3 linked regions of the Oryctolagus cuniculus genome follow. The protein of the gene in region 1 interacts with the protein of each later gene in a biochemical or structural test. Links are inferred from orthologs where the notes say so. Each region holds a gene or a part of one and is shown on either strand. Other genes may lie near its edges. The genes, in order: FYN, FASLG and ENO1.

Region 1 (3,646 bases):
ACATAAAAGCATTTCAATCTGCTTTAAATGACAAAAATCCCAACTGAGGCCTGTACTTGGTTTTCTTATTAGAAGCATGATTAAGACAGTTGCATGGAACACTGCCATCCACACAAAAAGGCTTACATGAAAAAACAGCGGTGGAAAAACTTGTACGCGCTGGGAAGCAAGCGGAGGCTTTTGAAATGAGCAGCATTGATGCCATTTCTAAAGACAACAACGGCGATTTAATAGAAGTGGAAGCAACGGAACTCCATCTCCCTTTGTGTCATCAGGAGAACGCGAGAGGACCTGCACCACTTCTAGCTCACCTCCCAATCAGCTCTGCACAAAGGAGAAGGAGGTGGAGGAAATACGGCCCAGCTGGGTGGTCCGAAAACCAGGGCCAGCAGTTAACAGCATCACCCGGGAACTTGTTAAAAACACACACTCCCAGGTTCCATCTCAGGCTTGCACAGAAACTCTATAGTTAAGGACCTAACACAAGGTAAAGTTTGAGATTCACCAGCTTAGCTTGTTGACAGATTTTTAAGTCTGGGAACCATGGGTGGGGCAGGCGCCTCCTCCTTATTAGCTCACAGCCCGCCGAGCCCTAAACCAGACACGTGAAACAAAGCAGCTGCGGCTCGCAGCCTCGGCCGGCTCAGCGCTTACGCACGCCGAGGGGAGGTGCAAATAATCATTTGCAGAGGCTGGAGGCTCGCGATGGTCATCAGTGATTTTTTTTTAAATGCTTTAATCACAAAATTATTTACAAAATAACCCTGGATACAAAGGACAAACAATCTGCCAGGAAAAAATTCCTTTTAAAAGAGTGTGGAAAGAAGAACTGCACGGGGCTCCTTGGAGGAGCAGTTCGTTGCCTTTTAAGGCTGTTTCTTGTTTGCTTCATCTGTTTTTCCAAAACAAAGTGATCTCTGGCCCCATCCCCAACAATGCTGGTTTGATTAGGATGACGGGGGGGGGGGGGGGGGGGAGGGTGTTGGGGGGGGTGAGAATATGAGAATAAAATGTGCTCTTTTAAAGCAACTCATTTCTTCATCGGATATTCAAGAGGAAGCCTGGAGAGAAAAGCAAAATGAAGTGATCGAGATTCAACTTAATCCAGAGACCAGTGCCGGATATGGTGCAGGCCTGCAGTAAGGGAATGGAACAAAAGCCACCGCTTTGGGGGCCGGCACTGTGGTGCAATGGGTTAATGCCCTGGCCTCAAGCGCCGGCATCCCATGAGTGTCGGTTTGAGACCGGGCTGCTTCACTTCCTGTCCAGCTCTCTGCTGGCCCGGCAAAGCAGTGGAAGATGGCCCAAGTCCTTGGGCCCCTACACTTGCATGGGAGACCCGGAAGACGCTCCTGGCTTCGGATTAGCGCAGTTCCGGCCGTTGAGGCCATTTGGGGAGTGAACCAGCGGATGGAAGACCTCTCTCTCTCTCTCTGCCTCTCCTCTCTCTCTGTAATTCTGACTTTCAAAAAAAAAAAAAAAAAAAAAAAAGCTACCGCTTTCAAAACAACAGGCGACTATCACAGCCTGCTGCGCTGTGATATTAAAAGTGAACGCTGGGGTGAACACTGTGGCGCAGTGGGTAGAGCTGCCATCTGTGATGCCGGCATCCCATATGGGTGCTGGTTCAAGACCTGGCTGCTCCGCTTCTGATCCAGCTCCCTGCTAATGCACCTGGGAAAATCAGCGGAGGACAGCCCAAGCACTTGAGCCCCTGCCACCCACATGGGAGACCTGGAGGAAGCTTCTGGACTCTGGCTTTGCTTGGCTCAGTCCTGGCCATTGTGGCCATTTAGGGAGTGAACCAGCTGATGGAAGATTCTCTCTGTCTCTGTAACTCTTTCAAATAAAATAAATGGATTTTTTTTTTTGTAATAAAAAGTGAATGCTCTAACTATGGTGAATTCCTGACACATGCGACATGCAAAATGTATGGCATTTCATGAGGATCTGGGGGACAAACGCAGGGTTATTCTGCCTTATAAACATTTTCATCAATAAGCACATGACTAGCGCCTCCTGATGGGGATACTCGACTCTGACAGAAATTCAGGACGAAAGCCAAGCGGGAGCTCCCCTGCCCTCCCTGATTCAAGCCCTGGAGTCCCCGTGAGGGGGAGCTGGGAGAGGTGCTGCCCAACCTTTGTTCATGTACTCGGTGACGATGTAGATGGGCTCCTCGGACACCACGGCGTACAGCTGCACCAGCTTGTCATGTTTCAGCTTCTTCATGATCTGCGCTTCCTCGAGGAACGACTCTGGGGACATCGTGCCTGGCTTGAGAGTCTTTATGGCTACTTTTGTGTTTCCGTTCCAGGTACCTACAGACACCCCATAAGATTAAGTCAAACCAAAGGGCCTCTTTGGATGGGTGTGAAGAGTTCAAAGCCATCAGGTGCTTTTTGTTTCCGAAAGTCAACTGCAAGGACTCTGTCAAGTAGTTAAGAGGAAACTGTGTTCATGTATGGCCAGGGCTAGATTCAGATTAATAATTCATTTCATTTTTCCCCTTATTTCAGTTTATAGCACTGTCTTTTTTGGGCTCAGTCACATGTCACAAAATTATACCAAAGGCTCTGGACTCTTCTTTATAATGATGGAAGTCCAGGAGCTGGCCGGCCAACAGAAGAAATGAGATGACGTACGCTCCATTTTTTGCAGTGTGCCATTTTTAAAAACCATGGCCACACTCTGAGGATACCTGGGGATTACCTCTAGACTTCCAGACATCTGCAGTGGGCGAGTTACCTGACGGAGTCCTTCAGCAGTTGACGTAAGCGTGCTGATGAGCACGGGCAAGGAGCTGGCAGGCTGCTTGCCGGTGCTTCAGCCAGGTCAGGCGCAGACCTCGGTTTACTGATGGTCAGCCTCAAGAGAACAACGCCTTCTAGCAGGGACACTGGGACAATTACATGAGCTAGGAGGGGCAAAGATAGCTAAGCTTCCCATGCGACAAACAGTCGAGTAGGGGCTGGCACTATGGCATGGAGGGTTAAGCTGCTGCCTGCAGTGCCAGCATCCCATACTGGGCACCGGTTCGTGTCCCAGCTGCTCCACTTCCAACCCAGCCCTCTGCTAGTGTGCCTGGGAAAGCAGTGCAAGATGGCTCAAGTGTTTGGACCCTGCCACCCACGTGGGAGACCCAGATGGATCTCCTGGTTCCTGGCTTTGGCCTGATCCAGCCATCTGGGGAATGAACCAGTAGATGAAAGAGTCTTTCTCTGTAGCTCTTTCAAATAAATAAATATATCTTAAAAAAAAAAAAAAAAAGTCTAGCAGACCCACAGGCAGGCCTGGCTTTAGATCTGACTGTTCTCAGTTAGCTCATCTGTAAAACACAAGAGTGACCCTGGATTACCTTATGAGTCTATTTCAGCTCCCTAATCAAATAAAACAAAACAAATAAAACTCAATTCTAAGTGTATCCCACTATTAGTCCTATGACTTTGAAGAACAGCTTTCTAAAGGGAAAAGAAAAATCTGCTAATTTAGATTGTTATTTTCTATTTGAAAAAGATGGGTTTAAATTAAATTTTATATTCTACATATTTAATTACAGAATTTAGAAATTCTGTAAATTGGAGCAATTCTTGTTATCCTATAAAAATGGTTCACATAATTACAAAGTATATGAACTCACAAAAAT
Region 2 (3,746 bases), on another chromosome or scaffold:
GGGTTGATGCAGAGAAGATAAGAGTTTAGTGGGGTAGGTAGACCTGACTCATCTGTTCATTTAACTTTTAACCAATAAAACGCCTCCAGAGAGTGGGTGAGAGATGAGTAATGAGGTACCTGTTTCCCTAGCCACAGTCCCCTGATTTTCAAAGTGACATTAGAAGTCCTCCAGAGGCTGCGTTTTTCTAAAAAGTGTTTCCACTCTGTGCCCCTCCTGAGTTTCTACCACATCAGAACAAGGGGCCAGAGCATCTCAGTGATGGCTCCTACATGAGTTTATGCTCCAGGGAAGTCGCTGACCTGGGCCACCTGCAGTAGGCTATCCTGAGATTGAAACTGGCAGCACTTAATGGATGGCTAGCCCTGCCTGCTCTCTTCTTCCACATTTCTAAGGAAAAAAATTACCTACTGATTTTGCAGAAGTGTCCTGCTTTCCATTTCTTTCTCATCCCCTGGCAATTACAGTCAAGCAAGAGTTTCTGTCTTTCCATGAGGCACCAGTCCACATGCTAGAAAGTCCTGGAAGTGCCAAGGCAGCAGGAGCCTACATCCCTTCTAGCCCCAGCGCCACCCAGTAGTCATGGGCACATCACCCAATCTGTCTGATGTTTTGTTTCTCTTCTGAGAAATGAAATGGGTGGAACTGATGATCTTTAAGATCCCTCTCAGTTCTAACCAAGTTTAAAAAGTCAATTAATCTTGGTTTAATACAAATGGAGCAAATCCTAAAATATACTTGTCCACAGTGTCTAAATCTATGCTCTGAAATTTAATGAAGCCAGAATTCAACACTTTTACCTTTTTCTTGTACTGGATTTCATACAAAGGACTTTCCTTTATTGTCAAAAACATCTCATAGGTAAAGTGGAATAATCCTTTGAATATGGGTTAAATCTTCTCCCAGGCCTCCCCATGACTTCAAAGGAACCATGCTATGTGGGAAATTGTCCACTTATCAAAAGCTTAGCTAAATCTTGTACAATGTCTTAAATGAAGCTTGACTCTTGAGTGATCTCTTTTCTGGAGTTGAGAAGAGGAGAGGACATTTCCCAGAAGTTTCTCTCTTTGCCCATACCTAACTAGGACTCCTGAGGAAGGAGATGGGCCTGCAACCAGCTGCCCAAATGGCAGGGCTCCAGGATTATGTATGTGTGTCTCATCCCAAAGTCAAGTCAAAAGTATTTTGCATTGTGTGAAACACTCAGCTACACTGATTTTGAGCAGTGAAATTCACTTCATATTTTAAAAGATGCTCAAGAAACCACACTGACCAGGGGTTCAGAATTGTCCAAGACTCTTCTCATAATATTCACAAGCCCAGGAATGGGATAGGATTCAAGGTATCCCCCCAACAATGTTCAGTGCTAAGGATTATCTTTGGAAATTCAAATCACATGAATAAAAGGACTCACCTGTTTGCTTCTCCATAGATGATGATGCTGTGTGCCTTTGACTGAAGGACTACCGGAAGAAAGAGAAAAGATGTATGATAAATAGGAAGCTCTTTAATCAGTGGAGGAATTGCCAAATAAGCCAGCCCCCGAAAGAGATTCCAAACTCCTCAGAACCTTTCCTAACTCAGACTTTAGCCAAACAAGTTTGTCTCATTGTCCCTCAGTTTTGTCATTTGAAATGGTACCAGATTTTTTAAAATGTTTTCAAGGAAATTCAGTCTGGTCATTTGAATACATTCACTTCTAAGCAGACTCAAAGTTTTTTTTTTATTTCTTGAATCACTAGATCTGAGGTCAGTGGCTTCACAGACTGACATGACAACTGAAAAAGGCAAAACCATATGGCTCAAATTCTTTACAAGACAGAAAATACCTCTTCATTCATAGGACCCTCCATTTCTCTACCTATAGAATAGAACGACAAGAACAATCCCTTTCCAAGACAAACAGTAAAGCTTGAAAAGCACTTTGCAAGCAAGACAGTGGTCCGGGTAGACCCCAGGAGGCTCCATCCCACAGCAGCAGAGCCCTCCTCCCACCCCAGTGATTGCTGGACACAGCTTACCTCTCTGAGCTCGGCCAACTCCTTCTGCAGGTGGTAGAGCTGGAACATCCCCAGCCCCAATCCAACCAGGGCCACCAGGACCATGAAAAACATCAGAAGGAGGCAGAGGCCTGTGCTGTGGTCCTTCCTCTTCTTCAGGGGTGGTGGGGGCAGCGGGGGCAGTGGGGGCAGCGGGGGCAGTGGTGGTGGTGGTAGCGGTGGCGGCGGCGGTGGCAGTGGTGGTGGTGGCCTTCTTTGACCAGGCCTTTCAGGTACAGAGGATGGACAGGGGAGAACTGACCCTGGAGGGGCCCAGGGAGAGCTGGCAGTGCTGTCCACCCAGTAGATTTGGGGATATGGATAACTGAAGGGCTGCTGCATGGCAGCCAGGGACTCCCAAGGATTTTACTTCTCAGTCCTGTGGAGGCTGCAATGTCGAAGAAGGAACTCCTGCTGCTCACTGTTAAGAGAGGAACAGCCAGCTCTCGCTTTATAGAGTTTCCACACCAAGGGAAACACCAATCAATCTCTCTCTCTCTCTCATCTTCTCTTGCTAGTTCTCAGAGAGACACCCACTCACCTTATATCTGCAGCTGAGAAGCCTCAAGAAGCTCAGAGCCAACCCCTGGAAGTTTCCGCCCACAACTTTCTGATGAAAGCCCCCGGAGCCACAGCTGCCGTGGCTGCGCTACCTGAAAAGGCAGGGAGCCGTGACCGCCTTCCTCGGGCCTGCAGAGCAGGGCAGCACTGGGCGCAGTGCTGGCGCAGGGAGAGTGGCGCTGAGCGGGGAGACTGGAGTCACTTGCAAGAGGAAATCATCCCCCTCCCGCATCCCTTCCCCACACCAAGCACTGTTTACCCGAACCCTGCAAATCACCATAATTTACAGATTAGACCCTGCCCCGCCCACTCTAGAGATTAGATCAGATATGCTTTGTGGATCTCACAGCCTAGCTCTGTTTTTACTTCTTGATGATTTGTTTCTCATTTGTAAAATCAAGACAGTCCACATTAAAATACCTATTTTCATTCTGTTGTAAATATTTTTAAGGCCATCTCCACAAATTCAGTCAGCTGGAGGTGAGGAGCAAGTGTCCCCAGGAATGAGACACAGGTGACCAGGTAGCCCAACCTCCACCCCCAAGGTCCCTCCACCCTGTACTGTGTTTCCCACACCACCTCACCTGTGAAATGGCTTTCTGGCCCCTGTAGGCAGCCCTGTTCATAGCTGCTGTTATGTTTACTAGAATTGCTTGAATTTCAGATCAACAAATAAGCTTCAGGGTATGTATGTCCTAAACAATGCAAGAGTTGTACTAAAATGTTATTCATTGTTTATCTGAAATTCAAATTTTAAAGGGTGTCCTTTTTTTAACTTTGTTTTTTGCTAAAGATGGCAACTGTGCCTGGGCTATGACCTCACCCTTTCTTTTGGTCTCAAATACCATTAATATGCCAATAACTTCCAAGTACTCAGCCTCACTCTTAATCATTCTCCCATAAAAACTGTATAAAATTTCCACAAATCTTCAATTTCTGTTCTTTTGAAGATGTCTACTTTTCAGTTTCATTAGTTTCTACATCACACTGTGAGATTTCTGTGACTGTCGTTCTGGCTCTCTCACGTGGACCACGTCAATACCAAATGTACAAGGGGTTTTCAAGAAGTTCATGGAAAATGTGTACAATGAAAACTCTATTAATGAATTTCAAAATTGTATTGCATCAGAGAGTGGGGAAGGAGGG
Region 3 (3,746 bases), on another chromosome or scaffold:
GGACCTTGAGCACAGACATGGTGAATTTCTGCGGGGAAACACAGTTTTTATTTCCCATAAACCACTACACAGCATTTGCTCATTCACTCGAGGGTTCCTGGACCAGGCGGAATCTGCACTGGCCTGAATGCTGGCTGCAGGAAGGCAGCTTAGGGGCGGGAGGCCGGAGGCATCGCTCCATCCAACCCGGACTGGGCCCCGTCCTGGAGGCCTTCACTTCTATGGTTGAAGTCTTGCCTATGAGCAAAAGCCTGACAACGTGTGCCCCTCGGGGAAATCTGATCCAACTGGAGAATTAACACGTTGACGGCACGTACGGCCTGGAGTTGGAGGGCTGGCATGGAGTGAGGAGCACCAAGAGCAGGCAGGCCACAGGCAAACCATCTAGAACAAGGCCAAAGCGGGAGGCGAGGCGGTCTGGCTTCCAGCACAATGGGGCCCGATTCATCAAATGAGATCTGAGGGGCCTGGGTTGGCAGACACCCACTCAGAAGGGCTGAGGGATACTGAGCTCTTTGCGCGTTGATCTTTGCTACCACCACTTACTGGGCCTCTTCAATTCCAGTGTTTGGGTCTTTAGCAAGATAGGAGACGCCCATAATGACCTCTGAGCTGGGTATCTTTGAAAGGGTATTTTAGGGCCGGCGCCGCAGCTCACTAGGCTAATCCTCTGCCTTGCAGCGCCGGCACACTGGGTTCTAGTCCGGGTCGGGGCGCCGGATTCTGTCCCGGTTGCCCCTCTTCCAGGCCAGCTCTCTGCTGTGGCCAGGGAGTGCAGTGGAGGATGGCCCAGGTGCTTGGGCCCTGCACCCCATGGAGACCAGAAGTACCTGGCTCCCGCCATCAGATCAGTGCGGCGCGCTGGCCGCGCCGGCCATTGGAGGGTAAACCAATGGCAAATGGGAAGACCTTTCTCTCTCTGTCCACTCTGCCTGTCAAAAAATAAAAAAATAAAAAATAAAAAAAAGAAAGGGCATTTTACCTCAATTTAAAAAATGCAACTATGAAATGTTGTAATCTGCGCATGGAGGAAAGATCTATCTTTGAACACTAGGGTGCTTCAAGGGAAGATACCGCCTTAGCAAACACCTTAAAAAAATTTGTGGATTTGCAGCAACAAAGAACAAAACCAATTCTCAAAGAAAGCCCCTCCTTTTTTCTTCTCCAAATTGAGCAACTTGCAGAACTCAAGTGCAAGACAGGAACTGAGTTAGTGTGCAGACGCCATGATCTCCCGCCCCTCTGACACCTTCTCTGGAATGTTCCGAAGCAGCAAATGGCATCACTACTTTTAAGCTTCAAAATTAGAAACTGAAGCCACTTCTGTGCAACAACGGAGTTTTACTCCTCGGTCACGATAAAGGTATCCAAATTTTATCTAGTATGTTCCCAAGAAGGCAAATCTGTTTCAAACTCATTTTCTAGTTTTAAAATTTTAGGTAACTTTTAGTTTTAGCAAATTACGTATCTGGATAACTTCCGCGGCACCACGATGTCTGCAGATGCAAAACGCCCCGGTACCCCGCACGCCGGCCCTGCCTGCGCCGGACGCCGAATTATGAAAAGCAATTTATCTCTGGACACGAATACACCGTGCCTCATCGTCACATCGCGGAGAAACGCGACCCTGCAGGGGCTGGGCGCTGGGCTGGGGCCCGGCGCGGTGGAGGCCGGCCGAGGTCGCCCGCTGGCCCGGTCACCGCCGCCCCACGTGCCAGCGGCGGCGCGCAGGGCACGCGGAGGCCCCGGCGGTCGCCGGTGGGGGAGGGGACCCGCGGCCCCTTCCTCCATTTTAGGAGGGGCCGGCGCCCACAGGCCGCGCGGCGAGGCCCGCGTCTGTCCCGCAACCCCGCCACCCCCGCCGCCCCCAGGGGCCCGCGTGGGCCGCGCCCGGCTCTCCAAGTACCGTTACCTGGCTTCGCCTCCGAAGTCGCAGGCACTGCCTGGCGCCCCCGGGAGAGCCCGGCCCGAGCCCCCCGCCCAGCCTCCACGCCACGCGGCCCCCTCGGGGTCTGCGGGGCCGCCGACCCCCGCGCCACGGCCGGCGCCAGGAAGCCCAGTCCGCGCGGGCTCTGAAACCCCCGCAGGCCTGCCCCGGAACCCTGACCTGGCCGCCGGACCTTGTGGCTCAGGGAAGACGCAGAGGGTGCTGCAGACACCGACGAGAGCGTCCGGAGAGTGAGACCTGCGCGCCCCGAGTGCCCCGACCCAGTCTCCTCGCGGCCCGCCCCGACTTCCTGCCCAGCCCCGCGGGCCCGCCCACTTCCCGCCTCCCGGGCCCGCCCCCTCCGCGCCGCCTCGCCGTTGGCCGGGCGCGCCGTCACTCGGGCCCTCGCCTCCCGGGGAGGGGTGGGGCTGCTGCCGCAGCCACCGCGGCGGCGGAGGGGGTGACCGCCTGGGGGCGGGGGGTGGCGGGCCCGGGGGACCCCGACTGCCCATCGGCAGTGTCAGGGTGCGGGCGAGGCCCCTTCTGGGGACACTAGCCGGGAGCGGCCTGCGAAGCCGCCGGCCTGCGGCGGGGCGGGGACGGCGCGGCGGGCATGAGGGCTCGGGCCTCCGTCACGTACTGCGAGTCCCGCACGCACTCAGCGTCCCTCCGGCGCCGCACGTCCGGCCCACGTCCTCGGTGACGACCTCGGCTCCCCGCCCCGCCGCCAGGGCCCGGGAGACCCCGTCGGCGACGAGACGTTGGGTGCCCGCACGCCCGGGCCCTGCCGCCCGGGCCAGGCCGCCGCGTGCGCGCGCCCGCGCCGGACTCCCGCGTGCGTCCGGCCAAGGTGACCCTGGCCCCTTTGTCCTCGCTGCGGCGGGCGCGCGGGAGCCCGGGGCCGAGAGGAGTTGCCGGCTGCGTGCCGGAAGCGTCGCCGCGCGCTTCATCCCGCAGCCGCGTCCGTGCGCTTTGTGGACAAGAGTCCCTGTCCCTTCCTCTCCCCCTGCCCGGCCCCGGGAGGCCGGCTCGAAGCCCCCTGGCTTCGTTGCTCAGGTCGCCTCGGATAATTTTCCACGATGATCTGACAGCTGAACTACAGGCAGGGGTGGGTGCATTGATTTTTCCTTTCTGCTCGAGGAAGAACCCACAGCGATTAAAAAAAAAATCATGCACACCGCCTCCCAGGGAGGCCTGAGTTTTGGCTTTTCCTGCCCCTGAGGCTGGCAGCCGAAGCCACGACCCAGGGCTCCGTATTCTGCACAGGCTCAAACGTTCCGAAGTTTAATTACCATTTTTTTCCTGGTCAGCTGTAAAAACTGTTTTTCTGCCTCATCCCCTAGTTGTGTGTTTAATCGCCAGGGTTACTGGCATGGGTCCTGCGGCCCTGGGTGATGGATCTTCTGAGTCCACGGCGTTTGCTTTACGTGGACAGGAACAAAAGCAAGGAGGCCAGGGAGGGGGTGACTTTACCGTATTTTGCTAGGGAATCACGTGAATTTTGTGAGTTGGGTTTGAGATTTCCCCAGCACGACACGGACATTTTTGGCTGTTTGAAAACAGCATCCCAGACCCATGACTCAGCAGCAGGATGAACGGGCAGGCTCGGCCAGGCTTCAGAACTGGAAGAAATCAGACCCCGAGAGCGATTCTGAGGTGTGGCCCTGAACAGGCTCCAAACAATCTTTACATTAAAATGGTTAGAGAGAGATAAAGACACAGCCAGAACCAGTGAACCCAGCAGGAAATCAAAGGCAGAGGTTGATCTCAGCAACCCCCGCAGCGGCGGGGGCCAGCACTTCACCTCGAGTCGTAGCTC

Evidence for each region.
Region 2: the proteins of FYN (region 1) and FASLG form a complex in vitro, tested with the Homo sapiens proteins (4 studies listed by BioGRID and IntAct, with this or other methods). The link is inferred for Oryctolagus cuniculus from reciprocal best matches to the Homo sapiens genes FYN and FASLG.
Region 3: of the proteins of FYN (region 1) and ENO1, one has a biochemical effect on the other in vitro, tested with the Homo sapiens proteins (2 studies listed by BioGRID). The link is inferred for Oryctolagus cuniculus from reciprocal best matches to the Homo sapiens genes FYN and ENO1.

What each region holds. Positions count from the first base shown.
Region 1 is NC_091436.1:59,897,241-59,900,886, reverse strand, and holds part of FYN (tyrosine-protein kinase Fyn), read right to left. Parts: intron 2,322-3,646; coding exon 2,142-2,321; intron 1-2,141. UniProt on the Homo sapiens protein: Non-receptor tyrosine-protein kinase that plays a role in many biological processes including regulation of cell growth and survival, cell adhesion, integrin-mediated signaling, cytoskeletal remodeling, cell motility, immune response and axon guidance.
Region 2 is NC_091438.1:1,340,748-1,344,493, reverse strand, and holds the start of FASLG (tumor necrosis factor ligand superfamily member 6), read right to left. Parts: upstream 2,789-3,746; 5' UTR 2,382-2,788; coding exon 2,022-2,381; intron 1,464-2,021; coding exon 1,415-1,463; intron 1-1,414. UniProt on the Homo sapiens protein: Cytokine that binds to TNFRSF6/FAS, a receptor that transduces the apoptotic signal into cells. Involved in cytotoxic T-cell-mediated apoptosis, natural killer cell-mediated apoptosis and in T-cell development.
Region 3 is NC_091438.1:158,988,043-158,991,788, reverse strand, and holds the start of ENO1 (alpha-enolase), read right to left. Parts: upstream 2,735-3,746; 5' UTR 2,568-2,734; intron 2,276-2,567; exon of another isoform or gene 2,108-2,275; intron 29-2,107; 5' UTR 20-28; coding exon 1-19. UniProt on the Homo sapiens protein: Glycolytic enzyme the catalyzes the conversion of 2-phosphoglycerate to phosphoenolpyruvate. In addition to glycolysis, involved in various processes such as growth control, hypoxia tolerance and allergic responses.